Linked DNA regions of Ovis aries. The protein of the gene in region 4 purifies or fractionates together with the protein of the main gene of each other region. This does not show direct contact. Links are inferred from orthologs where the notes say so. Each region holds a gene or a part of one and is shown on either strand. Other genes may lie near its edges.

Evidence for each region.
Region 1: the proteins of CHD3 (region 4) and BCL11A purify together in Homo sapiens (affinity purification with mass spectrometry; 3 studies listed by BioGRID). This does not show direct contact. The link is inferred for Ovis aries from reciprocal best matches to the Homo sapiens genes CHD3 and BCL11A.
Region 2: the proteins of CHD3 (region 4) and SMARCC2 fractionate together in Homo sapiens (co-fractionation; 3 studies listed by BioGRID, with this or other methods). This does not show direct contact. The link is inferred for Ovis aries from reciprocal best matches to the Homo sapiens genes CHD3 and SMARCC2.
Region 3: the proteins of CHD3 (region 4) and SIN3A purify together in Homo sapiens (affinity purification with western blotting; 3 studies listed by BioGRID, with this or other methods). This does not show direct contact. The link is inferred for Ovis aries from reciprocal best matches to the Homo sapiens genes CHD3 and SIN3A.
Region 5: the proteins of CHD3 (region 4) and BCL11B purify together in Homo sapiens (affinity purification with mass spectrometry; 3 studies listed by BioGRID and IntAct, with this or other methods). This does not show direct contact. The link is inferred for Ovis aries from reciprocal best matches to the Homo sapiens genes CHD3 and BCL11B.
Region 6: the proteins of CHD3 (region 4) and CDK2AP1 purify together in Homo sapiens (affinity purification with mass spectrometry; 6 studies listed by BioGRID and IntAct, with this or other methods). This does not show direct contact. The link is inferred for Ovis aries from reciprocal best matches to the Homo sapiens genes CHD3 and CDK2AP1.
Region 7: the proteins of CHD3 (region 4) and MTA3 purify together in Homo sapiens (affinity purification with mass spectrometry; 4 studies listed by BioGRID and IntAct, with this or other methods). This does not show direct contact. The link is inferred for Ovis aries from reciprocal best matches to the Homo sapiens genes CHD3 and MTA3.

The regions. Positions count from the first base shown.
Region 1 is NC_056056.1:63,535,423-63,538,922, forward strand, and holds part of BCL11A (B-cell lymphoma/leukemia 11A), read left to right. Parts: intron 1-520; coding exon 521-622; intron 623-3,500. UniProt on the Homo sapiens protein: Transcription factor. Associated with the BAF SWI/SNF chromatin remodeling complex. Binds to the 5'-TGACCA-3' sequence motif in regulatory regions of target genes, including a distal promoter of the HBG1 hemoglobin subunit gamma-1 gene.
Region 2 is NC_056056.1:163,357,354-163,361,305, forward strand, and holds the start of SMARCC2 (SWI/SNF complex subunit SMARCC2), read left to right. Parts: upstream 1-1,152; 5' UTR 1,153-1,177; coding exon 1,178-1,288; intron 1,289-2,085; exon of another isoform or gene 2,086-2,383; intron 2,384-3,294; coding exon 3,295-3,414; intron 3,415-3,952. UniProt on the Homo sapiens protein: Involved in transcriptional activation and repression of select genes by chromatin remodeling (alteration of DNA-nucleosome topology).
Region 3 is NC_056071.1:31,101,754-31,105,253, forward strand, and holds the end of SIN3A (paired amphipathic helix protein Sin3a), read left to right. Parts: intron 1-2,202; coding exon 2,203-2,433; 3' UTR 2,434-3,487; downstream 3,488-3,500. UniProt on the Homo sapiens protein: Acts as a transcriptional repressor. Corepressor for REST. Interacts with MXI1 to repress MYC responsive genes and antagonize MYC oncogenic activities. Also interacts with MXD1-MAX heterodimers to repress transcription by tethering SIN3A to DNA.
Region 4 is NC_056064.1:27,388,702-27,392,201, forward strand, and holds part of CHD3 (chromodomain-helicase-DNA-binding protein 3), read left to right. Parts: intron 1-1,872; coding exon 1,873-1,985; intron 1,986-2,473; coding exon 2,474-2,644; intron 2,645-2,901; coding exon 2,902-3,026; intron 3,027-3,500.
Region 5 is NC_056071.1:61,946,267-61,950,437, reverse strand, and holds the start of BCL11B (B-cell lymphoma/leukemia 11B), read left to right. Parts: upstream 1-1,371; 5' UTR 1,372-2,321; coding exon 2,322-2,379; intron 2,380-3,935; exon of another isoform or gene 3,936-4,171. UniProt on the Homo sapiens protein: Key regulator of both differentiation and survival of T-lymphocytes during thymocyte development in mammals.
Region 6 is NC_056070.1:52,346,653-52,350,785, forward strand, and holds the start of CDK2AP1 (cyclin-dependent kinase 2-associated protein 1), read left to right. Parts: upstream 1-1,333; 5' UTR 1,334-1,591; coding exon 1,592-1,646; intron 1,647-4,133. UniProt on the Homo sapiens protein: Inhibitor of cyclin-dependent kinase CDK2. Also acts as a component of the histone deacetylase NuRD complex which participates in the remodeling of chromatin.
Region 7 is NC_056056.1:81,421,682-81,425,181, reverse strand, and holds part of MTA3 (metastasis-associated protein MTA3), read left to right. Parts: intron 1-1,258; coding exon 1,259-1,383; intron 1,384-3,500. UniProt on the Homo sapiens protein: Acts as a component of the histone deacetylase NuRD complex which participates in the remodeling of chromatin.

The DNA.
Region 1 (3,500 bases), on a different chromosome or scaffold from region 4:
GGTGCTAAATACAGCAGGGGAAGTATAGGACAGGGAAGGCAGAGTGGAACTCTATTCCAGAAGTAAAGAGTCACAAATCCACTCATTTTCTGTTAGCATATTGTTTTTTTGCTTGAGCTTGTCTATAAGTAAAGTAAATGTATGCGTGTAAACCAGCCTTGCAGATAACCTTGCCACGTTACCAGCCTGCCAATCATACTAGCAATTTCCTTTTGCTGTTCACACATCTCTTATTATAAGACAATAGTCAGACTAACGAACCAAAGAACACTCCCCCTCCTACCTCATACCTAAAACATCAACTCCCTTCTCTTTTGTCAAAAATAAACCAAAATTAAAAACAGAACTATGGGAAAGAAGTCACCACTGTTCATTTGATACAGGCCTTGGGCCTGTTCACTATCTGCAAGGCTGTTGTAATGATGTTAATCTATTTTAATGGAACTGAAATGTGATATCCTGTGGTCTACAATGCACATTGTTTATAGCTTTCATGCTTGATTTTGGGTTTCTTTCACAGATAAACTTCTGCACTGGAGGGGCCTCTCCTCCCCTCGTTCTGCACACGGAGCTCTAATCCCCACGCCTGGGATGAGTGCAGAATATGCCCCGCAGGGTATTTGTAAGTTGAGCATTATTTTCTTCTACAAATGTCCATGTGTGTAGAGATGAGAGTTGTTGGAAATTACCCTTATGTTTTAAGTACTGAAAGGAGTTACTTCCAAAATACCTTGGCATCTGCATATGTGTATCCCATTACTCACTGGGCACCTGGCTCCCCCAGGTCATTCAGCCCCAGGGACTTTTTTCCTTACCCCCTTTCTTTTTCTCCTTACTGAGGGCATGAGGCTGACAGCAGCTCCTCCCTGTTGGTCTCCTCCCCAGGGTCTTGTGTGGCTCCATGACTGGTGACTGCATAGGTCTGTTCAGGGCCCATTTTATCGCTGGGCATTCACCCTCATGGTCTCATTTAGAGGACTTTGAATTTACTCCATGACATGTGTCTTTAGCAGAGACCAGAACCAGAAAGGACTCAGTTCAGTGTTACTGTAGAGGTATCCTCATGCATATTATATATGCATGTGTTTTAAACATGGTATATTTTTATATATGCATGGTACACTACATATATAATTTCTACTTGTTTTTCTCCTAGATTCAGAGAAAAATGCACAGCATTGTTGCTAAAATTCAAAGATACCACTCCCCACCCCCACCATCACTATCACTGTCCAGTTATTGGTTCAAGCCAACTTTTATGGTGGGGACCTTCTTATGAAATTTAGATTTGTATGTTTATAAAAATGTTTCTGAAAGATGTTGTTTTAAAAGGTAATACAGTTTGATTCTGTCTGTTGGAATACATAGTATGAGTCACGCATGGCTAAAAAGTCTGATGGGGAGGGGGTGAGGGCCTGGTGCTTGATTCGATCCCAAACACAAAAAAGTAGGCTCAAGAAGAAAAGAAATGTGACGTCTAATTTTTATTTAAGGAAACCATTTTTATTTTGAAAGTAAATGAAAAAAATCAAGAGCCAGGAGTTGGGCCTTCAAGGTGGCTGGTTTTCAGATGGGCGGTCAACTAGACCCAGTCTTCTTATGAATGGTGTCTGCAGGGCAGGGCCTACAGCCCGAGATCAAGCTGGAAGCTGGTTGTTTATTTTTATTAACTCCTAGGTAATTCTAGCTAACAAAGAGTTATTGTATGAAATTTCACAAGCCCTGAGGTCCTGAGGGCTGGGTGGTGCAGGGGTTAAAAGCACCTCTTCCCCGCCGCCCCCGCCCCCTCCACCTGCCCCAACCTAGCTGGGCTGAAGCCTGGGTTAGGTCACTGATTGCAGAGAGCTCAGGGGGTTGGACTCGAGGCATCAAGTGCCTACGTGCTGACTGGGTGGGGAGAGCTCTCCTCGTTTTGCTGGGGGTGCCTCCCTGGGGCCTGTCCTTGGCTGTGGGAACAGAGCCTTTGGAGGGAAGGGAGGAGAAGAGAGTGGGGCATAGAGGGGAGGGTGGAGTGGGGGCCCAAAGGCTGCTGCCTGGGAAACAGGCACCTTCTCTCCGGGTTCATCCTCCTGAGGGCAGGGAGTTTGATCTGAGGGGATGGGAAACTAGGAATCTTCTAGTTTGATGGGGCCCATACTGGCAGGGCCAGTTTAGGAGTGACCAGAATGAGGTATGTGGGAGTGGGTCGTAGGGATCTACAAAGTCCTTGGGCAGAACTGATCCGCACCCCACTGGCTTCCTTAACCTTCTGCCCTAGGCTCTCAGAGCATTTAGCACTTAGGCTGTGGCCTCCTGGCTGTGTGGACCATGGTCCAGGGCCTTAAAATCACCCACTCTTGCTTTCCTCTAACCAGGGTCTCCCCTTGGCCTGAGAAGGCCCAGATCCTGGATTCCAGTCTTTTCTTCAAAAGCCCTTGTGGATGTGTAATGTGCGGTTAGTCATCATGTTAGGTAACTAGTCAAGCCTAGGAATAAAGAAGACTCACATTCATGTTGGACATGATAGTTTACAGAGAGCTTTTATATACATTTGTCATTCGAGCCTCACAATTCTTTAAGGTACTGTTTTTACACTCATTTTACAGATAGGGGCTTCCCTGGTGATCAGAGGGTAAAGGAATCTGCCTGTAATGCAGGAGACCCAGGTTCCATCCCTGGGTTGGGAAGATCCCCTGGAGAAGGGAATGCCAACCCACTCCAGTATTCTTGCCTGGGAAATCCCATTGACAGAGGAGCCTGGCGGGCTACAGTCCTTAGTCATAGAGTCAGACACGACTGAGCGACTAACACTACAGATAGGAAACCTAAGACCTGAAGAAATTAAATGATTGTCCTAGAGCCACCAGCCAGTAAGTAGTAGAGCCAGAGTCCCTCATCAGAATTTGCTCTTCTAAATTATAACTCCTGAGCATTGGTGACAAACTGGAAATGGGGTCATTCCTTCCTATACAATAAAATGAAATAAAGTAAAAGCTGTAGGTGAGCTAATAGCTGATTTTAACCGTTTTGATGCCTCAGAGTTCTCTGCTCGAGGCCAGATCTCCGTTTATTGCTCTAATCAAAACAATCCCCCTGAATGCCCAATGAGGCTCTCAAATTGAGAAGTTGATTTTCATCAGAGTAAATGAAGAATATTATTATATTTTACACATCAATAAATCAATGTAGCCCTAATTTTGCCACGCAGGAAATCAATTCTGGTCTTTCTAAACCATCAAAGATGTTATGAACAAAGTAATTTCACAAATTATGGCAAGTAACACATTTATTGATGACTGCAGTTTAGGAATTTAGAGTCTGTGAGCACTGTAATATAATATGGTGCACTGGCATGAGCCGAGTGAAATACAGATTATATGGTGAGACTGTGATGCATCATTCGCTATTAGTGGACTGGTAATAATTACTAGTTTCAAAGCAGCTCTTTCCATGTAATCTTTAGTCTCAATCGTAACAGCCCTTCTCATTGACATTACGATTACACTAGCTGCCCTCATGAT
Region 2 (3,952 bases), on a different chromosome or scaffold from region 4:
AGTGCTTTGTTATCCTAGCAGACAATACAGTTGTACATCATTAAACGCTTCTTGTCACCCTCAGCCCCCTTCTTCCCCCAGATCCAGGGGTGAGACCTTTTGGCTTCTGTTTCCGATACAGAAAGGGAAAGGCACGAAACACACGTGGAAGTCAAGAAGTTTCCTTCACACACACCCTGAAAAAAAGCGGCCGTCACGAACAGGATTCGAACCTGTGCGGGGAAACCCCATTGGATTTCGAGTCCAACGCCTTAACCACTCGGCCACCGTGACTTCCAAGACCGCCTGTCACCGAGCACTTACAGAAAGGGTCTGTACAACGACCCGGAGCGAGTGGTGGCAACGGGAAGCTGGGCCAAGCCCAAACACACAGCCTGTGACCTCCTCACATTCCGCTCCTTACCTCTGCCTTCACGCCGCTCAAAGGAAGAGAGTCGGGTGGATCGGGTGACCCAAAGAGGAAGGGTCTCCCGCCCTACGAAGATGAGGGTCTCAAGGAGCGCAAAGCTGTTTAGGAGGCATTGGCGAGGCCTGCAGAGGAAAGCAGTTGGAGAGGAGGGGCTGGGTCCCCGGGGTGGCGGCTAGGGGACTCCTCGGGTTGCGGAGTGAGACCTGGGACAAGGCGTTAGGGGCGAGGGAGGCTCAGGAGTTTAAACGGGGCACTCCTGGGGATGGATGACAGGAAGAAACTTCTTGCGGAAACGGGTCCAGGGCTCCTCGGGATTAGGGGCTTTGTGGGGTTAAGAAATGTGCAAGGTGAGGACCACTGAGGTCTGGGCTGGGGGCTCCTCAGGCGACCGGCATCCCCCTGGGGTAGGATAGAGAGGTACCCCACTCCACCGGCTGAGAGGCAAGAAAAGACTTCAGGTCAGCAAATGGCGATCTCTGGGGAGTGTGCGCCCCCTCCAGGAAGCAGCTTCCTCCCCAGAGCTCCGGCCGCGGCCGCCGCCGCCGCCAGGGAGGCCGCCAGGGTCCGCCCCGCGCCAGGCGCTCCGCCGCCACCGCGTCCGGCCGACCGGCAGGGGGCGCTGCGCGGGCCGGGGCCGGCCTAGGCGGCGGGAGGCGGCGGCCGCGGCGGCGGGAGGCGGCGGGAGGCGGGCGGAGGAGGAGGCGGAGGAGGCGGGAGCTGAGCTGAGCGGGGCGGGCGGCGGCGGGGCCCGAGCCCGAGCCCGAGAAGATGGCGGTGCGGAAGAAGGACGGCGGCCCCAACGTGAAGTACTACGAGGCCGCGGACACCGTGACCCAGTTCGACAACGTGCGGCTGTGGCTCGGCAAGAACTACAAGAAGGTACGCGGGCAGGGCCGCGCGGGGGCCGGGGGCGGGACAAAGGGACCGAGGCCCCGCGGCTCCCCCCACCCCCAGCTCCTGCCCACCCTCCCGCGGCCCGCGGCCCCTCCCCCGCGGCGCCCGGAGCGGCCCCAGCGCGCCCTCCGCCGCCCCGCGCCCCTCCCCCAGCCTCTTTTAACAACCCCCCCCACCCCCGCCTCTGGTTCCAGCCCCCGCCCCCACTGCTGCGCCCTCTGCCCCTTGTTTTTCTCCACTCGTCCGGCGGGTCCCGGTGCCAGCTGCCCACCCTCCGTAAGCCATCGCCTTCCGGGCTTTTCCGGGAGGGACGGTCGGGGGTGGATGGGTGCCGAATGCCCACCCCCCCCGACCCGAGCGTGCCCGCCACGGTGCCCGCCAGAGCTCCCCACGGAGCCAGGTACCAGCAGGGCTGAGGCCTCGCCGGTGCTTTGTGTATGTTCAGAGAAAGATGATGAAAGCCAGAGGATAAACAGCCCCAGAGCAGGCCCTCGACTGCTCACCAGCCTGAAAAAGGCCCCCACCCCGGGATCACCTGTCTACCGCCCGCCCCCATCTCCGTACAAGGGGTAACAGAACCTCTTTGGGAGTCAGGGTATAGGAGTTCCTGGGCAGCTACCCCTTTTAAAACCATTGCTCAACTTCACAATGAAATCACCCCACCACCTGGCCTTGCATTGCCTTGGGTTTGGGGTTCAGAGACTAGGATGCAGTTTGTGTCTGGAGTCCCCCATCCCGTAACAGGAGATAATAAGGTAATGAACAAAGGGTTCAAGCCTTACCTGTCGTTTATACCAGACCTCTTCCTGGTGATGTCTTTGTCTTTAGGCCTGGTTGAAAGGAACATCTCTGCATAGGGCTTTTCTCTGGAGAGGGTCTGGGTCTCTTCCTTCTCACTGCCCCCAATAAGAGGTTCTCAGACTTTCCTTCAGCTCCCCAGTTCTTCCTGCTCAGCTCTGCAACCTGTCAGAAGTGTGATGGGCTGGTGGAGAACGCCCCTCTGATCCTGGTTATGAGTCTGGCTCTGTTCTCAGAGGTCTGTCTGGGTGTCAGAGCTTGACCAACAGCTGCTGGGTCTGTGGCTCCTCTCTACACCAGCCTGAGGCTCTGGCTCCCAGGCTTCTACCTTTGACCTTTTGGACAGGAGATCAGTCTAGGGGCTTAGTGTCTGGCCCTGGGGGAATTGACAGCCTGTGACCTAGTTCAGCTGTCAAGCTCTTAGCTCTGTCATTTACCTTTTCTTTCAAGGATCTCTTTACACCTCCCACCAAAAGGTGCGCTTTTTTCTATGGTCGGGGTTGAGGAAAAGGGGATCAAAAGATAAAGTTAGCTTCTTTGCACAGTTTTACACGAGAACTGAAGGCTAGGGTGCTAGGTCGCATAATATGGAAATATTTAAGAAGCCCCAGGCTTGCCTGTGTCCAGTACAGTCTCCTCAAGAAGGGTAGATACTGGCTTGCTATTTCCACCTGGCTGGGCAGTAGCTGTCTTTTTTCCCTTCTAGGAGGGCATGTGAAGACATGTGCCCTATATTGCTTCTTTGCACCTTTCTTATCAGGCTATATTATAGGGGGAATCTTGACCTTCCACACCATTACTCAAAGAAGTAGACTGCTGTCTCCCTTAGAGCATTCCAGATGTTGCTTCTGTGGCCTGATCCCTATGAATCTTCATAATTTTACAACTCTAGGTGCCATTGGCTAAAGATCTGGATCCTGCAGCTCCATTTTTAGGGTGTAGTTGAGGGAGAGTAGGAAGCTGCCTATATTGCCAGCACCCAAGACTGGCAGTAGGAAGCTGAATGTCATCTTCTTGGTGAGGGGCACCTCAGGCCTTCCTTCTGCCGTTTTCTTTCTAAGAGATTAGGCATGTGGGGGAAGAAGACACTATTTGTATTCCAGATGCTTCCAGAGCTTCTGGGAAAGAAAGAAGGGAGATGGTGGAAAATTGATTTGGGGTCTGTTTTTCTCTCCTTTTCCCTATTTCCCCAGTATATACAAGCCGAACCACCCACCAACAAGTCCCTGTCTAGCCTGGTTGTACAGTTGCTACAATTTCAGGAAGAAGTTTTTGGCAAACATGTCAGCAATGCACCGCTCACTAAACTGCCGGTAAGTGCAAAAAGCAAGGGGGCAAATCCAAGAAGGAGTTGTCTCTTGTGTTTTTGTAAATCTTCTAGTTTTTGAGGTTTGGGTGACTTCCTACCATCCCTTTCCCTGGTTGGGGTGTTACTGGCTTGGCAGAGCCCCCAGTTTACCATCCCCTTTGTCCTAGTAATAGTTCATGCAACAGGTTATCTCGAGTATTGAAACTCAGTCATGAAACTCATGGCATGGTGAGAACGTGAGATTTGGATTTGCACACTCTTGTGTTCAAATCCTTGCTCTACCACTTGGTGTCTCTGTCATCTTGGACAAGTCATTTATGCCTTTTGAGTCTTGGTTCCTTTATCTCTCGATGGGATTAATATACCTATGTTGTAGGTATTACCTGTAATGATTAACGAGGAAACCCAGTAAAGGGAATCCAGCAAGGGACATGGTGGGGCTTTGTAGATATTGGTTTCTTTCTCTCCCCTCTTCTAGGCTACAAGATAGAATGGCACAGGGGTTAAAGAATTCCAGCTTTGAGAGGGAGATCAGTTCAGCA
Region 3 (3,500 bases), on a different chromosome or scaffold from region 4:
TATTTGGAATTTCTCCACACGTCTCCCTCAGCCAGTATACCAGGATGCTGTAAGAAAGCACCAAAGACTGCGTGACTTAACAACAAAAACTTACTATCTTGACACTTGTAGAGGCTGGAAGTCCCAAGTCGAAGTGTTGGCAGGGTTGCTTTGAAACTTCTGAGGACTGTGAGGGGAAATCTGTTTCTTGCCTTTCCTAGCCTCTGGTGGGTTTCCAGCAATCACCAGCATTGCAGGGCTTGCATATTTCTGCCTTCGTTTTTGCATGGTATTCTCCCTAAGTGTGAGTCTGTCCAAATTTCCCCCTTTTTAAAGAACGCCAGCCATACTGGATTATGGGTCCACCCTCCGACAGTATGAGCTCATCTTAACTAATTGTATCTGCAACAACCTTATTTCCAAATAAGGTCACATTCTGAGGGGTGGAAGTTAGGATTTCTGCTTGTGAATTTGTAGGGGGACAGCTTAGTAATAGCTGGTGGCACCTTCTAGTGAAGCTACTCCCAGCATTCACATCTCCGGTAGTGTTGCTTGTGTGAATCCTGTCTGTGTTCACATGTGAAAGTCCTAGTGCTGTTACGTACCAGGTATTGTGCCAGGCCCTAAGACTACAGCCCTGAGATAGAGCATGTAAGGCAGTGTGATGATGTGCATTTCCAAGGAAAGAAACGAGGTGATCGAGGGTGACTGGCACACACAGCCCTGCTTTTGTTGGGAAGACCTAAGGAGGTGACCCCTGAGGCCTGTACAATGGTGAGGATCCAGCCTGGTGCAGAGTTGGGTTGGTACTTTTTAGGCAAAGGAAACAAGCAGGTGCAAGGCTGGGAGGGAGGAAAGGACTTCACGTGTTCAAAAACCTAACATCAGTTGCGGGGGACTTGCTTGGGACCTAGTAATTGAGGCTCCACTCTTCCAGTGCAGGGGGTGCAAGTTCAGTCTCTGGTCAGGGAACTGGAGTCCCAAATGCCACATGGCAGGGCCTTTAAACAATAAGTAAAACATCATTGTGTTTTGAGCCATAGGGGAAGTGGGATGCATGAAGTTGGAAAGGTGGGCAGAGGCCACATTATTTATTTTTACAGGTTATGGTTTGGGTTTTGAGATACATTGAGACTTTGTTGATAAAGATATAGATTGATGGGAGTGAGCGAACGCACCAAGTTGGATGGGCAGAGACCACTCAAAAGACTGCTCTCATCCGTATGAGAGATGACTGCCCAGACTACCAGGATTATAGAGGAATTTTAATTAGATTGGAGGGACTTCCCTGATGGTCCAGTGGTTAAGACGCTGGAGCTTCCAATGCAAGAGGCATGGGTTTGATCCCTGGTCAGGGATCCAATATGCCATGCTGTATGCCAAAAAAGGATTGGAGATACAATCGTCAGGATGTGCTAATGATTGGATGTGGAGAGGTTTAAGAGAATGGAGAGCGTTAAGGATGCTACCTGGTGGTTTTTGTTTTTTGATTTTATTTCTTTGCTTATTTTGCTTGAGTAACTGGGAAGCTTAGGGGTATGTCTGTTAACAGGAAAGGGTTATTACCAGGTTTGGGAGGCAGATCAAAGGACTACAGAACATTCAAGTGGGAAGCACAGATTGGGCAATTTAATGTACTTCTCTCTCGGTGCTGTGTGTTATATGTCTGCATGTCTGATTCAAATGATGTAGGGAGCTGGGAAACACCTCATTCATCTTTGTATCACCTTCCCTTCTTGCTTATGGGCACCAACAAGTATGTTGGAGGTAGGAACAAAAACCTCCACTGAAGATCTGCTGTGCCCAACAATCTGATGGACAGAATGGGATAATAGCAGGAAGGGATGGTGGGTTTTAAACCCTTTGCCTTGCGCTGTGACAGAAGTGACCAACAGCCTCATTGTCTCCCTCAGGGTACATTAGAATCGTCTGGGTTGCTGGTTTAAAAATACAGATTGATGGAAACAAGGAACTCTGTACACATTTTTCCCAAGACCTCCTCCTTCCCCAACATGCCACCACGTGGTGATGCTGCAGACCAAAATCGAAAAGCACTGAGCTAGTTCTGACCAGACCTTGGGTTGGCATTTCTCTGGGGGCTTTATGATCTGCAGCTTGAGCCCACATCTTTCCTCAGCTACTTTAGAACAAAATTGGATTTTGTATTCGAAGGGTTTTTCAGTCCTAGTTCATGGATGGTTTCTTCTTTGTTCTGTTTTGCAGTCCCATGAGCGTGTAAGCAAGCGGCTACATCAGAGGTTCCAGGCCTGGGTAGATAAATGGACCAAGGAGCATGTGCCCCGTGAAATGGCAGCGGAGACCAGCAAGTGGCTTATGGGTGAGGGGCTGGAGGGCCTGGTGCCCTGCACCACCACCTGCGACACAGAGACCCTGCACTTTGTGAGCATTAACAAGTACCGTGTCAAATACGGCACAGTGTTCAAAACCCCGTAACTGCAAAGCCAGAGCAGATAACTGGAGGGGGGGTGGTGTGTGTGGGGGGCGCGTGTACTCGCACACACTGAAGAAACAAGGAAGATGCCTTTCAAGCCTCACTGGGCCTCTCTGGGACATGGCCACCTGATCTGTGCGTGGCTGGTGCAACCTGGCACCAAGTGGGCTACGTATAAGGAACGTGTGACCCCTTACAAAGCCGGAGTTGGAACTTTTCCCAGGGGTTTTGGGTATTAGCCTGCCCTGGAGGGGAGGAAACCCACGCAAGCACAGGGACACGCAGCTTGCACACACCAGCAGAGTGGAGACTGGAGCCTCCTGGGGCGACTTTCAGTGAGGGAACCGGATGCTGTTCACACCTGGACGAGCTGGGCGAGCATCGACGACAGACTTGAGGAGGAGCCAGCGCTTAGATGGATTGTAGCTCTGATGGTCACTGCTCCTTTCCTCTTCCCCTCAAAAAGGAAAAAAAAAACTGGATTGGATTTTTCTTCCTGGTCACTTGAGCACATCTAGATCACCCATTAGGTTTTCTCTGGGACCTGCAGTTTGGCTTTGGGATTGATCATCTTGTGGATTTGATTCCTGATGAATACCTTGCTGCCCACCCTTTTTTCTCTCCTCTGGTTCTCAGCCTCAACAAGTTCAAATCAGTCGTCCTTTTTAGCTCCCGTGGAACTGTTTTGTACCTGCTTCTTTACTAGTCTACCCTAGTGCCATCCACCAGCTTTACTCACACACACACACACAAACACAATTTTAACTTGGTTTTTCTTTTTTTTTTTGTAAATAATGTACATACTGTCAATTTTTTATTAAAAGAAATATGCTTTGATGTGCTAGCATAACTGCTCTAGCTTCTTGTGTACCATAGTTCTATGTGGCTTCAGATTTAGTACCTATGAACAGATGTACAAGACATTTATTACACTTTTTACCAAAGGGAGTTACCGTTGTAGTACTTTTGTGTAAAACTTGTCTTCCTTCTTGCCCCAACTTTTTTTTTTTTTTTTTTTTTTTGTAAATAAATAAAGCTTGGTTCTTACTTAAGGAATGAACTCTCAACA
Region 4 (3,500 bases):
TGGTGAGGCAGAGGTTGGGACTTAGATTTGCTTTCCTGCCCTCCCTCTCCTTTCCTAGCCGTCTACTTTGCGTCCCCGCACTACCGCCGTCTTCCCAAGTTGGGGAACCTCCCGCTGGGGTGGAGAGTGGAGTTAACTGGCTGCGAGGTCCCAGGGCTGGTGTCCCCCCACCACCCCACCCCCAGCTGGCGGAGACCGAGGCCATTTCCCTGATCCTCAGCCAGTTGGCCTGCCCTTGCTACTGCCCCGGCAGCCTCCGTTTCCATGTTCGTATTAGCGGAGTCCCTGGGGTGAGAGAGCGCTGGCTGCGGGGCACGGCGTCTTACTGACTTCCTATTACGGTACCCACTCTGTTTTCACACCCCGGGCTGCCTGCAGGCACTTCCCCCCCCCCCCCCCCCCCGCGCCACAGCCCCCCAATTTTAGAGTGCCGTCCCGCGCGAGAGGGCACAGGATGCCGGAGCTGTGAGAAGTAGCACTGAAGGAAGGAGGCGCCGCGATTCTGAGGCGCTGGAAACCCGAGGCCTCCGGTGTAAATTGTGGCTAATTTTCCCTTGGCTGTTGTGGGGAGAAGGATTGTGTGTCCTAGAGCAAGGGGCTGGGCCGGCCCAGGCTTTTCCCTCCAGCGCTGCTGCCTCTACCTGAGCAGGACAGGTCTGGCTGGTTAGTCTAGTGCTTGCTGGGGGAGGGAGGCCTCACACCGGGGCCTCACTTCTGTGTGGCATCGGCTGTGTCTTCCTCCTGAAGTAGTTATTCTCTGAACCCTAAGCCTCCACAGTGTGGCAGGGGTCATGGAGAATGGGGAGAGGGGGACATCTGGGAAGAACCAGCCCCAGATTGTCTGACAGGGACATCTGGAGAGAAAGCCAGGGACCTAGCCCTGCTAAAAGCATGTACAAATTGTCCTCTGGGTTTGTGCTCATGAGTATGTGATGCTTGTGCATTTGAGAATGCATTTGAGGGGTGTGTCTATGCCTGTCCAGTGTCTTTGTGTGGGTCTCCCATACTGCTTAGATATGAATGGGTTAGAATGCTTGAGACTACATTTGGAGGCAAGGGGTGAGACCAGGGACAACGGGTAGGGCGCCTGAGTTCTCAAAGGGAACAGGGATGTGGATGTAGATTTGAAGGCACAATTGAGGCTGCTTGGGAGGAGGAGGAAGAATGTATAGGTAATTGTGGAGACCTTCTCCTGTGGGGCTAGGGAGTGACAAAGGAGCCAGACACCAAGATCCTGTGGGCCAGAAGTGAACATGGCTGACTGAGGGTTTCTTTTCCTCCAGGGCTATGCTGGGGTGACAGGAGTCTGGGTGATTATCTGAGGAAGTGTAAATAGAGGCCTCACTCCTCACAGAAAGGATGTCAGGGCCCCAGGGTGTTAGTGTGAGAGCCCAGGTGTCCACCTTTGGCTCTGCCTTCTCAGCATCTGGCTTAGGGAGCTGCCAGCTTGTGTCTCCCCACTCCAAGTGCTGGGGTCAGGCCAGGCCAGCAGCTGGGCATGGCTTCCCCAGTTCCTGGGCAGGATGCCAGCTGGCTAAGTGAGGGGGAAGGCAGGAGGAGCCCTGGCGGCGACTAAAAGGACCTGCCACAGTCAGAGCCCATGGCCTAGAGCCTGGTCCCTTGTTAGTAGGAGGGGAGAGACAGGAGTGGTTTGGCTGCTCTCCTCTTCTGACCCCTGACCTCCCATTCACAACCCAGGCATCCCAGAGTACTCGAAACACTCTCTGTTTGCGTCCAGCAAAGGGAGGCAAGGTTTGGAAGAGTTAATGCTGGATTTCCTAGAGAGCAGGAACCAAGGAGGTGAGGGAGGAAAAGGGCTGCAGAGGCTGGGAGCCTAGAGGCTTAGGTTTTCCGGTGCTGTCTGCTCCAAAGATAAGGATGACATTCGACTGCTGCCTTCAACATTGGGCGTGAAGAAGAGGAAGCGAGGACCTAAGAAACAGAAGGAGAACAAGCCAGGAAAGCCCCGGAAACGCAAGAAGCTTGTAAGTGTTACGCATGCCTGTCTCTACAGTGAGGCTTGGAGACCCATCCCAGAGACCTATGATTTCTCTGGGCCTGATTGCCATGGGGACCCTGAAGTCAGGGAGACCTGACTCCCTCTGCCTGCCCCTAGCCCCACTCCTGCTAGCCTGTATCTCCCAGGTCTGGGACCCTAACCTTACTCACTACATCCTAGTGAAGAGCCCTTTTGTCGACTTTACTTGCCCTGCAACACAGAGAAGCTGTTGGAAGCACTGCAGGTAGACTGCATGAATTCACAGCCCAGCAGTCCTCTATCTTCTTGGGCAGCTTACTTAGCTCTCCGTGCCTCAGTTTCCTCTACAAAAAAAAAAAAATGGATAAAAATAGATTAGTTGCTGTCTCATAGGATTGTTGTGAAGTTTAAAAGAGACGATGATATTTTGTGCTAAGAGGAGTTCCTGGCACACGCTAGGGCTCAAAAAATAGTGTTTTTATTTCTCTTCCTTAGGACAGCGAGGAGGAATTTGGCTCTGAGCGAGATGAGTACCGGGAGAAGTCAGAGAGTGGAGGCAGTGAATATGGAACCGGACCAGGTCGGAAACGGAGACGGAAGCACCGAGAAAAAAAGGAGAAGAAGACAAAGCGGCGGAAAAAAGGGGAGGGAGAGGGGGGGCAAAAGGTGAGTAGATTTGGGGAGTGAGGGAAGAAATCTGTATCAATGACAAGCCTGAAGAGTAGGGGAGGGAGAGCCCTGGGCAAGCAGGGTGACAAATGGAGAGGCTGTGGTTTATGAGGAGTGGGATTGGGCTGGGAATGGAACAGAAAACTGGAAGCCCAGAGAAGCTGGTGAGTGGGCAGGGAGGCATGTCAGGGGGTGGGGGGAGCCCAGGACTGGAGTTAGGAGAGCACCTGGCTAACAGAAGCCTGGTATCCTAGCAAGTGGAACAGAAGTCATCAGCAACCCTACTTCTGACCTGGGGCCTGGAGGACGTGGAACATGTGTTCTCCGAGGAAGATTACCACACACTCACCAACTACAAAGCCTTCAGCCAATTCATGAGGTACGGTAGGGCTGGGGAACCCTCACTAGCCGATGCTTTTAATTTGAGGGAGGCCCTGGACCTCTCTGGAATCTGATGAAAGCTAAAAAATGGCTGTCCAGAGAAATTCACAGCACAGACACACCTAACTCCCATGTAATATCAGAGAATTCCTGGATTCCAGGATCCAAGCACTCTAGTCAGGAACTTTTCACTGGGGATCAGAGTTCCACGGCTAGGTTAGAAAACTCTGGTGACCGATGGCCCTCTCTGCTCTTAACAGTTCCAGTTTACCCTGCCTGACTTTTCATCAGACTGGAGTGGAGAGGTGGCATCAGTGTTTCCCAGTTTCCTTTGCTCGGTTATCGAGTCTTCTGCCCTTCCCTTAGACAGCAGTAGTAGTGCAGGCTGAGAGTGGCACCTGCAAGTCAATAGCTTCTAAAGTAGAGGAGAGAACAATAGAGATGCCTTTGGGGGAAGCAGGCACTTTAGCAG
Region 5 (4,171 bases), on a different chromosome or scaffold from region 4:
CAGCCCCGAGCCAGGCCCGGACCCGCCCTGGCCGCCTCCTGCCCCAGACCCGAGAAACCCTGGGAAGGGCGAGGGGGCCGGCCGCGTGGCGCGTCCAGCCCGGAGGTCAAGTCGCGAAACGGATGAAGTTGGCCGCGGCTGGAGGAGGGACTGGGAGGTTGGAGGGGGGGTTGTAGATGTCCACGCGGCCCGCGTCCTGGCCTTGTCCCCGGGCCACGGACAGGCCCCCACACCTCCTCTCAGCCTCGCCGGCTGGAGATCAAACGGCTGACAAGGCAGCTGTGTCCTTCCTTTCCAGACTGACGGGCAATTTCAAGTCCTGCCCTGGGCGGAGGAGCCCTGGGGGTGGGGGGCGTTACTTCCAGGCTGCAATAATTGTCAAGGGGTGGGAAGGGACTGGGGGACCCGAGGGGGGTCACCCACGCGAGTGTGTCCAAAGATCCGGCCACACCTACTTCTGGGTCGGCAACTATGAGACACTCTCCCACGTGAAGCACCCGTGCCCCTCACCCCCATGCTTCCGAAAAACCTTGGCGTTAGGGGTGGGCTCCGTGTTTGACCCCAAGACTGAATGGGATGAGGTGCAGGGAGCGCAAAGATTTCGGGTGGACATGCCTTCCGGAATGGGACTCAGACAAGGTCTCACGTTTCCCTGCCCCTCAATGTGCCCCGAATTCTTTCCTCTTAGTATCTTTTATCTTCTCCCCTTGGCTCTCCCAGTTTGAAATATTAGGATTGATATGGAGACACTTTTTGGAAGTTTAACCCCGACCCCTCAATAAAAGTGAAAACAACCAAACTACTTTCCTAGGGAGACGGAGTAATTGACCATGTGGTCCTAGTCCTCGTGTCGACCCCAACACTCTTTCATAGCCATCCCCCACCCCCCAAGAGCTTTCCAGTGAGTGGGTGGGGACTTGCGTTGCTTCAACTTACTTCCACGCACACCGCACTCCGCCCCCCTTCTCTGGGGGTCCAGCTCCCTAGAGGGGAGGAGGGATGGAGAGGATTTTCTTTTATTTAAAAATATCTTGCCCACGGCCCTCCCTCTCTCCCCCCATTTTGCGCTGCCAGTGCACCGGGAGGAGACGAGCGCACACAAAAAAAACGCCGCACGTGTGGCCGGCCTGAACTGCGGGTGTGCGCACGGGCGAGTGTGTGTGTGTGTGTGTGTGTGTGCGCGCGCGCGCGCGAGTGTGTCTCTGTGTGTGTGTGCTTTCTTGTTCTCTTACAGGGTACAATGTTAAAAAGCCACCGCTAGTCGCCCCCAGTGCTCCGACTCTCTGGGTCTTTTTGTCTCTAGTGCAGATTAAACGTCACGTCCGCACTTGAACTTGAATTTTATCCCATTGTACAGAGGCAGCCCCAGCCATAGAGAGACCGAGAGCTCCCAGAGAACCCGGACTCCGCCATCTTCACGTTGCAATCTATAGCTCCCAGTCCGCGCCCGCACCGACCCAGGCGCACTGGGTGAGCCGCCCCGCAGCCCAGCTCCCCCCGGGCCAGCGGCTCCAGGGGAGCGCTGGGGAGCGCTCGCGGGGACCCGGCAGCCTCTCCGGCCGGCGCCAGCCTGCCAGGTGAACTGGGAAGGAGCCGCTCCTGGAGTCCCCCCAGAGCCTCGGAAGGGTCAGTCTCCGAGAAAAAAACAGGCAGCCCGCAGAAAACCCAGAAACCACCGAACCGGGGCAGTTTTACATTGCTTTGGGTTTTTTGAGGGGGCGGGGTGAGGGGGTACGAGACAAGTCCTCAAGTTTTCTTGGCTTTTTTTCTTTTCTTTTTCTTCTTTTATTTTTTATTTGTTTGCATTTTCCCCCCTCCCCCCCCCCCTTCCTGGTAGAAGTGCGCTTTACACCTACCAGACCCTCAAAGTGTCAGGAGCCGGTGCAAAATCCGGTTTAAGTTCGAGACATTTGGAAGTCCAGGAGGCCAAGCAGTTTGAAGAAGTGTATGCAATTTTTTTTTTTCCTTGAAAAGAATATATTTTTGAAGAAGCAAGCCAGTCCGCGGCAAGCAGCAGCAGATTTTTTTTCCTTTCTCCTATTTTAGATCGAGAGGTTTTGCTTTTTCTTTTTCCTTCTTTTTCTTTTTGCAAATAAAAGAAAAAACAGCATAGAAGAAAGCGCAAAATAAAGAAGAAGAAGAGGAGGAAGAGAGGGCAAGAGAGGAAGGAAAAAAAAAAAAAACCAAAACACCAACCCGGGCAGAGGAGGAGGTGCGGCGGCGGCAGCGGCGCGGCGGCAGCGGCGGCGGCTCGGACCCCCTCCCCCGGCTCCCCCCATCGGTCCAGCTCTCCGGGCGATGTCAGAATAGATGCCGGGGCAATGTCCCGCCGCAAACAGGGCAACCCGCAGCACTTGTCCCAGAGGGAGATCATCACCCGTAAGTGTCTGCGGCGTGCGCGCGAGGGGCCGGAGCGTGGGGCTCCGGGCGCCCAGGGCTGGGGACACCGAGCCGGGCGCAGCCGGGCCGGGTGCCCGGGCGGCCCGCGGGCTCGCACAGGGGCAGCGGCGTCGGCCCAGAGCCTGGTTGGGGGGCGGGAGGGCCTTAGGAAAGTTTCTTTGCAGCCCGGGGAATCCGGGCGCTGCGCAGTCCGATGCGCCCGGGGCTTGGGGGCCTGCGGAGCGGGCTCCGGGGCCGGGGAGGGGGCGCGCAGGCTGGAGGAGGTGTGTGTGTGTGCGCGCGGAGCCCGGCTGGACGCTCGCCCCTCCGAGCGGCGTGTGTGGCGGCGGCGGCGCTGGTGGCGGGGTTTGGAGAGGAGGGGGGAGGGGGTTGGGGGAGCGGAGGGGGAGGGGGGAGCCGGGAAGTGGGGAAAAGTTGGCGAGCGCGTGGGTCCGCGCTGACGGCGCCGGCGGAGGGGAGCGGGGTGCGCTCGGGCCTGGGGGAGACGCAGGGCGAAGGGTGGCCGCTGGCTCCGAGTTCCCCCAGTCGCGGCACCCGGCCGGGCAGGGCGCCGGCCACGCCGGTCCTCGGATTCCGCTGCCGCCTTTCTCTCCCCTCCTCGTGCTATTTGCAAAAGAATCCAGCTGCGCGGCTGTTTGCTGGGCTCCTGCACCCCCACCCCCATTTCCCCACCTCCGTCTGTCTCCTGGGATGTTCTTGTCTTCTTTCCCCCCCACTCCAAAAAAAAGGTGGGGGACATCGGGGGCTGGTGAAAAATCCCCTCCACGAGGGGGCTGGGGGGAAAGGGTTGTCAGCTCGGAGTGGGAAGAGAGGGACGTGCTTGTAAAATAGTGGAAAAAAAAAAATAAAAGAAAGAAAAGAGGAAAAAAAGGGAAAGAGACCTATCCATCTCTTACCCATCTGCCTATCTCAGATCTTTCATCTTCCCCTGTCTAAATAAACAAGGCAGGTCGCAGTGGAAATCCACCGGCTGAAATCATGTGGGTTTCAAGCAAGTGGCGGGGAAGGCAAAGTCAGTCAAGGGGGCAGAGACGCAGCCGCTTCCAGCGTCCCGGTCGGGTTTATTTAGCGAAGGGAAGAAGCGTGCGGGAGCGGGCCAGGTACGGGGTTGGCAGGGGAGCTCGCCCGGGTGCCTGCACACTTGCACCGGGAAGGTCTGCTCGCCGCGCTCCCTGCCCGCCGCAGCCCGCGGGGCCGCTGCTCCGCCGCGCGCAAACCTTTCCCCGCGGTCCTTTCTCTCGCGGTGCCAGAGTCGCCGTTGCTTTTTTTTTTTTTTTTTTAAATTTTTCTTTTAAATTGCAATAGAAATAAAACATCCTCTGGGTGCCATCGAAACCGCGGGCAGGTTGTGTTCCTTGCCATCCTCGGATCACCTTGTCAGGCTGGGGCCCGGCTGCCGGCGCGGAGCTGGAGAGGGCTGTGCGCCCATCCGTCGCCGAGGACTGGCTGCGGGGCGGCCAAGAGCCGAATATTTATGTTATATTTTAAAAAATTTAAATAAATAAATAAATATATAAAGGGGTTCTCCCCTCCCCGGAAAACCCAGCATAGGAGCCATCTGCTCGGAGCCTCCGCTGCTGCCATCTCTCCTTTGTTACAGCACATACATTAGTAAGAATTTGTGGATTTATGATTATTTTTTGGGGAGGGGAATAGATATGAAAGTGGGCTTGCCTTGGGAGAGGGACGCCTTTCTAGAGGGAGGGAAGAGGGCTTCTCTTATATTTTTCACCATTGTAACATCAAAGAAGACTTGCTGGTTGCATTTAAA
Region 6 (4,133 bases), on a different chromosome or scaffold from region 4:
ATAGTATCAGAAAAAGAATGTAAAGTATCTTAATAATTGCTTTATATTTATTATATATTGACTTAATACGTTATATATTTAAATCATGTTAAATAAAAAAGATTAATTTCATCAGTTTTTACTTTTTGAAATGTGATTATTTAAATTGTTAAAATATATATGTGGCTTGCAATACTTTTCTATTGGACAGTGCTACTCTAGAGTATTGGTCCCCTGAGAGCAGGGTAGGAAAAGGATGATATTAATTTACCCCCGAACTAACACTTCGCTGAACATCCTTGACGGAACCAGCCTAAAGCTGATCACAAGCGATCCTGGGAAGAGGGGTGTCGCTTGTACCTTCACTTCTAAAGGAAGGAGGGAGGGAATGGGTGTATCCTTTACCTCTGGGGCAATAAGAATTCTCACTAGATCCAGATGTATCTGAAAGTCTGTAGCTAATAAAAGATATTTGCAAAGCAGGGCGATTAAAAATGGCAGAAAAGGGCGGGCATCTTGTGTCTTTTGAGAAGATTTACTATTTAAGGAGAACTCCAAGAAATAATACCTTCAAAAGCTTCATCATCTGATGTAAAATAAATTTCATGATTGCAATTCAGTCAGATTTGAGAAGTGGGCTGTGGTGGGGTAGGAAGAGGGTCAAAAATTGCAATGTAATCTCCAGGAGAGAAGAAACTTGGTCAAGTTTATTCTTGTCTTAGCGCCTAGAACAGTGCTCGCCACACAGCAGGCGCTTTTTAAATATTTGAACGAGTTAAGATGCAAAATTAGGTGGATGAGACGGTGTGTTTTTCGCGGGAGGAGGCCTTTGGCTTTTGTCCAGTGTCAAAGGAGTCTAGGCCGCCAAGGGGTTAACAACCACTTAATACCGACAGGGACGTGAAATTTATTTGAAATCAATGTCAAGAATTGGTTGATCTTATTCTGGGGAGAAGGCAGACCTCGGCGTCTGGAATGATCTACGTGCTTAAAAATACCACTCGCCACCATTTTCTCCAGGTAATTTTCCATCCCTGCCCCCACAGTCAAGGAGGGGGGGGGGCGAAAAAGTAATTCCGCAATCCTACCTAGCTTTAGAGAAAAAAAAAAAAAAAGAAAAAATGAATCGGTACAGCAACAAATCTCCAGGCATCGCCAGCGCAGCAGAAGAAGGGGACCCAGGTGGGCCTCGGGCACTGCCGGGACCCCAGCCCCCCAAACTTTGCCAAGTTGCGGGCGCCGAGTGCGCCCGGAGGCGCGGGGCGCGGCCGCGGGCGGCACCGCCCCCTGACGCCCGGCCGCGGCGCGCCGGGCCGCCCCCTCCCGGCCCCGGCCGGCCCCGCTGGCTCCGCTCAAAGTTTGCGGCCGCCCCTGCGCCCGCGCGCCCGCCCGATGTATGGGTGATATACTGCAGCGGGTGTCAGGGTGAGGGACGGCCATATTTGCCGGTGCGGCCCGAGCCGTCAACAACAAAAAGTGCGCGGGAGCTCGGCGGGCGCACGGACGGGCGCACGGACGCCAGGACCGCCTCGCCGCCGCCGGGTCTCGCCGCCGCCGCCGCCCTCGCGGGCCGGGCCCCGCTGCGCCCCGGCGCGCCCCGCCGCTCGGGGGGATGTCTTACAAACCGAACTTGACCGCGCACATGCCTGCCGCCTCCCTCAACGCCGGTGAGTGAGTGCGCCTCGCGGGCTGCGCGCGCCGCGCCCCAAGTGCAGCCAAGTTGGGGGCTCGCGCGCCCGGCCCCGGCCCCGGCTCCCGGGAGCCCGCGGCGGCCGGGGTCGGCGGGCACCGGGTCCCGGCCCGGGGCAGCGCGGCCGCCGCCGCCATGATTCCGGCGCGCGCGCTGCCAAAGTTCGCGGGTGCGACCCGCGCCGCGCCGGGCCTCGGGTCGGGCCGGGGCTGGGGCCCGGGTCGCGGGCGGCCGCCGCGGTCCCCCCCACGCCGGCGGCCCCGGCTTGTGGGGAGCGCGGCGAGCGAGGGCGGGGGAGGCTTTCTCGGCTCCTTTTTCCTCCGGCTTTTGGGCGGCTCGGCGAGGGCCCCTGCCGGCGGGAATCGGGAGCGGCCCGGTCGCGCCGGGAGCGGGGCGCCGGGAGCGGGGCGCCGGGAGCGGGGCGCGGGTCCGCCCTTGGGGACCTGAGGGGCAGGCCCGGGCGGGGGGTCCGGGAGGCAGGGGTGCACGTGAGCAAGGCCGGGCCACGCGCAGGCGGCGCTGCGGGGCGGCGAGAGCGCCAGGTTGCAGCCGCTCCCGAGGGCGCGGGGCCGCTGGGGTCACCGGCGGTGCAGGGGAGGTGGTCTGTGGACGCCCGCCCGGCCTGGCGTGGGGGAGCAGGTGCCCAAAACGGGGCGCACGGGAGGTCCCCTCAGGCGTGCGCGAAGTGAGAGAAGTTGAAGAAGACCGGGGGCTTCGGAGTTGCCTGCAGGCGGAGGGCGGGGGAGGCATTGAGCCGGGGTCCCGGCTTGGAGCCCCCAAGTCTAGGTTTAGAGGGGCCTCCTCCAGGAGCAGTGCTCTCCGTGTGCTGGGGCTGAAGCTGGGCGGTCCCAGAAAACTCCTGCATAAGTTGTCCGGAAGCTTTAGGCTGAGTCTGGGGGTCTTGCCTCAGAGACCGGGGCGGGGGCGGGGTGTGTGTGTGGCAAGGGGGCACGCGGGATGTGTGTGGCTGGTGGTAAAATTTTGTGGGGTTCGTAGGTGACTGACTGCCCCCTCTCACCGAGGTTCTCCTTTAGACTCTTGGTGGGAAACTTCCAAAAAAGCGAGGTGCATGGGGGTAGGGGTGGAGGCAGGGGCTTGGCAGGAAGGAAATGGGCCTCCCTGGTCAGAAGTGCCACGCTGGCAGTTGGCCGAAAGTTTTGGGCCTTGTCTTCTAATGTTAACTCGATAACTCCAAAATCTGAAGGGCGCCCCAGAAAAGCACTAAGTGTATGTCCATGTACGTATATACCTATACGTAGGTGTATATATGTGTGTGTGTGTTTAACTTCTTGGACAGAGATTTGGGGATTGGAAAGGGTTAAGATTCAGGGTGTGGATGGCTGTGGGGGTAGATAGTTTAGTTGGTCAAGTGTGGGCTCTGTCTGAGCCCCAAGAGCAAACGGCCCCTATTTTCAGCTGAAATGTTCTCATCTCTCGGGTCTGCACACCTTAAGAGGCAGGCTTTGTGGCCAATGTTTCTCACTGCCTCCCTCATCTGACTCTGGGGTGGGATGGGTGGAGGGTCTTGCCGCCGGCCCAGGTGGGCAGGAAGTCTCAGGTTCCCCTGGTGCAGTTGAGGCAGGGACCCTGAACCTGGCCCTTTGGGGACTGGGGTCCCAGAGGGAGCAAGCCACCCGCTTAGGCACCCTGAAGCCCTGCTCTGGGCTGGCTAGCACCTGTGCCCAGATTGTCTTCCTTCTCCTGTGGTGAACTCCAGGAGGAGCGCTGAGGTCTCCAGATCTCTGGTGTTCGGGTGAGGGGCCACCTGCCCCCTGCCCTGAGCGTGGACCCCTTTAGAAAGCCCGCATCTCCCTGAGCCATTTGCATCCAAGATGGACTCTCCACTGCCGCTCCTCCGGCTTCCTTGTCATCATCCCTCACGCCCTCCAGCCCTGCCTCCTGCTCGCGAGTTGCCAAGCCGCGGCCTGGCCGGCGGTGGCAGTGGCGGAGTTAGACAAAGCCCCCGCCTCCCCGCCAGAGAGCCCCCCCAGGCGCCCCAAGTGGCGGGAAGGCCGCCAGCTCCCCAGGCCCGGGCCGCTCTTTGTCTGGCGTGGGGGCGGGGAGCCGCGCCTGGCCCCAGGAGCTGCTGGCCTTTGCCAATCCCTCCCTCGGCTCAGGGCCCTCCCTGGTCCCCGCACACTGCGCGCATTGTCTGCGATGCTCTGAGACGACCGTGCTCACGCCCTGTCTGGTTTTCTCCTTGGCCTTGGGCAGCTGGACCGCCGGCCCTCCCTGTGTCTGCAGGAAGCTGTGGGCATGAGTGGAACTTGGGGTCCCTGCGCCAACTCTTCCCAGGGCCACAGGCACCCCCCTCTGAACACTGAGCAAAGGACTGGCTCAGAGTCGGGTCGACTACCACATCACCCAGGTGACAGGCAAATCAAGCTCTGGGCTCTTGCCTGACTTCTCCACACTGCTTCCACGCCTGCAACCCATTCCTTCTCCCTCTCTCAGGAACTAACCC
Region 7 (3,500 bases), on a different chromosome or scaffold from region 4:
GGCACAGATAAGAAGTATAAATAATAGCCCTGTTTATAGAATAGGGCTTTCAGTGCACACACAGGTTAGCTGGTTTCACTTAAGAGTTACAGTATCACTGGCAGAAAGAAATCTTAATTTGTCATCAGGTAAAGTTTACATATTAGGCTTTCACTGGTAAATGTAAGTGTGGGAATGAGAAAGAGCAAAAAGGAAACTCCTGAGTCTACTCTCTGCTGAAACTTCAAATGCCTTTCTTAATAGCTGTGAGCTCTCTTTACTTCACTGGCCATAGGAATATATGTAGTCCGCATGTAGTCATTCAGCATTCATTGCTAACAAATAAGTTGCTAACTTATTTTATTTTCTGCCCAGCATATAGACATGAAGACTCCTCTAGAATGAAAGTTGCTTGATGTCAGCACTTCTCTTTACTGGACCCTGAATAAATATATGTTAGGGGAATTGAGAGTGTACTTGAGGACACACTGTGTACACCTAGGTGGACAGTGTTCTTGGGCGTGACTGATCAGCAGGGCAGTTAGGCTGCCCCAGATGGGAAAAAGTAAACCATGTTGGCACAGTAAATACCAAAACAGTCCAGGCTACATGATTCTGAGGAATTATGACTTCTGGAAATCTGATAGATATTACCTTTTTCCTCTTAAAAAGAAATGCCTCGGATGCATTTAGTGGTTTTTCTAATTTCAAGTGCTCTGTAATCATCTTCATAAACATTCAAGCATAATAGAAATGATGAGCGGCCACAGTCTCTTGACGTGCTTTTACCTCTCACAGTAAGCCCAGCTGATGTCCGCAGTGTCACTGCTGACATGCAGCTTTTGTGCAGTTCCCTGAGAGCCAGTGTGGGGTCAGCAGCTGTCACTCCAGCAGCAGGAAGGGCAGTGGTTTTCCCTAAACACTGCACACTGCTTAATTTATTTAATCCAGAAATTATTTTGTCATGATAAGTAGTAAAATTTAATAACTTGCATCTTCCAAAATTTCAGACAGTATCCTAAGGAAATTGTGTCTGGGTGAGGAAGAGATATGACTCTACTTATTTTGTGAGTGTCATGCTTATGAGATTGGTTTTTACATAGCCTCGGTTTGTAAAGATAAATGGTTTGGGTTCATTTAAACACCTTAGTTTTATTTCTTCTTCATCAAACATTCAAATGTTTATGTGTGGTTAAGATAAAATCAGTAGTGAAATGCAGAGCCTTTTACCTTGTTACACAAGTCATTTTTATCACTTCACTTTATATTTCATTGAAAGCAGCAAACCAAATCCCAACCAAATATCCACCAGCAATGGCAAACCTGGTGCTGTGAATGGAGCTGTGGGAACCACGTTCCAGCCACAAAACCCTCTCCTCGGGCGAGCCTGTGAGAGCTGCTACGGTGAGTTTTCTCCAGCAGGGCTTATTCCCCACTCCAGCCCCTACTCCCCCAGGGACCATGCTGGCGGCATCCGTGGGAGGTGTGGGAGTCAGCCCTGCATGGAGAGCAGGATAAGGTAGCCTCAGAGTGAATAGATGCCCATCCTTCCGCTTGGACGCTCAATTTAGGTGTTAGCTTCCTTTGATTTGCTTCTGTGGTGTCCTGGGTTTGTTGAGTATTCCACAGCAGTGCGTGCTAAGCTACATTCAGAGCTGTTACTAGCTTTGTGTAAACCATGGTCTCACGAAATATACCAGTATACTTTTGGTGTTTCTCAGTATATTTTGACAAATTAAAGGCTCCACATAACTTTGTAGGAAGGACTTACTGCTAGAAACTGGTATTTATAGCCCTCAGACCAGTTCCCTTAGAGCACTGGCTTGGGAGATTCTGTTTATGATACTCTTGTGTTTATCAGTATTTATCCTTGTTAAAAGAACTACCTGATGCCGGTGCATTATATTTGCCTTGAATGTTAAATTGAGGTGGTGAGACGAACTGTTAAGTAGTCGATACTTTTTCTACTTTTTTTCTTTTTCTTTTGGCTGCACCTCTCTGCATGTGGAATCTTAGTTCCTTGACCAGGGGTTGAAGCCACGTCCTCTGCAGTGGTGATGCTGAGTCTTAACCACTGGACTGCCATGGAAGTCCCAGATACATTTTTTATATTTCTTTAAAACCTCAAACAGCAATATAGTCTCTTAAACGGGGCTATGGTGACACAATCATCCATATGGCCTTCCAGTCAGAGCAGCTTGGTGTGGAAGAAGGAAGGACACAATATTGACTAAAAATCATCCATATGTCCTTCCAGTCAGAGCAGCCTGGTGTGGAAGAGGGAAGGACACCAATGTTGACTAAAAACATCTACTTGGTGCCCAGTTTTTGACTTTCCTCCATGCCCCGTACCAGGCTCCAGCATTAGGAAAGGCTTTTAAAGCCAAATCATGTAATTATCTTTCCTACAACCAAGGAAGGTGTGAGCCAGACGGATTGCTGTCTTCATAGAAATAGCACATGCCTAACCATTTTCTGTACCACGAGAGCGCAAAGGGAAACACTTTGTGGAAAGTTAGATTCTTTTGGTCACAATTTTACATGGATTGCATAGCTGCTTTTGCATTGGGGGAAATCTTAGATTTTGAACTTCATTTATATTTAAATGAAAGTAGAAAGACTCCTAAAGAAATGCTAGTGGCTTAATGTGTCTTATACACCCCCTTTCATCTTATATGTAGTCTCACATATCCCTTTAAATAATTATTCCACCATTTTTATATGTGCATGACAAAAAAGCAGTTTTAATTTTATAATCTTTGAGGTCCATGTATTAAATTACTTATTATAATTATATTTCAATATAATATACACATCAAATTTATCTTTACAGAAAGAATTTGATGTTTTCTGTTTGTCAGTCTTTAATTGAATTTGAGTTAATTGTATAAAGAGAAAGACATTTGTTGACATATTAAAATGACATATCGTGAAAAAAATAAAAAAAAATAAAATGACATATCATGATTAATTTGGATAAAAATACTTTTTTAAATACAAGTGAAAATTTATATTCAGAATCCAAAATAAGTCCATGCCTAATATTTAGGATTCTTAAAATTTGTGTTTAAAACAACTCAGCTTGGCTTATTTGACTATTTGGTTTTAAATTACAAGAGGGAACATTTTTAAGTTACTATTTGCCAGGAGTCCCCCCAGAATAACACATGATGGGGTTCATAAGAAGTAGTATGGCTATAGTGATCACTATATCTTCCCTTTTGACAGTGTCTTGTGAAGTGTTAGTTGATAACCCTGATGTGCTGTTCGAACATGTTAACCTGAAGAGGGCAACGTTCCAGGTCAAGGGCAGAAGATTCAGTGTTTTCTGTCTTAAACTTCAGATCCATTGTGGGAATACTTAAATTGTTATATGGCAGTAATTTAAATTTCAGAGCAAAATAACACAGGTCTGTAGTGTTCAGCTCAGGAATAAATCAGCTGAGCTCTCAGGGGTTAAGCATGCCCCGTCTCTGCTGCACGTGCTCACTTGATAGGGACTTACAGTCTTGAAACGGATT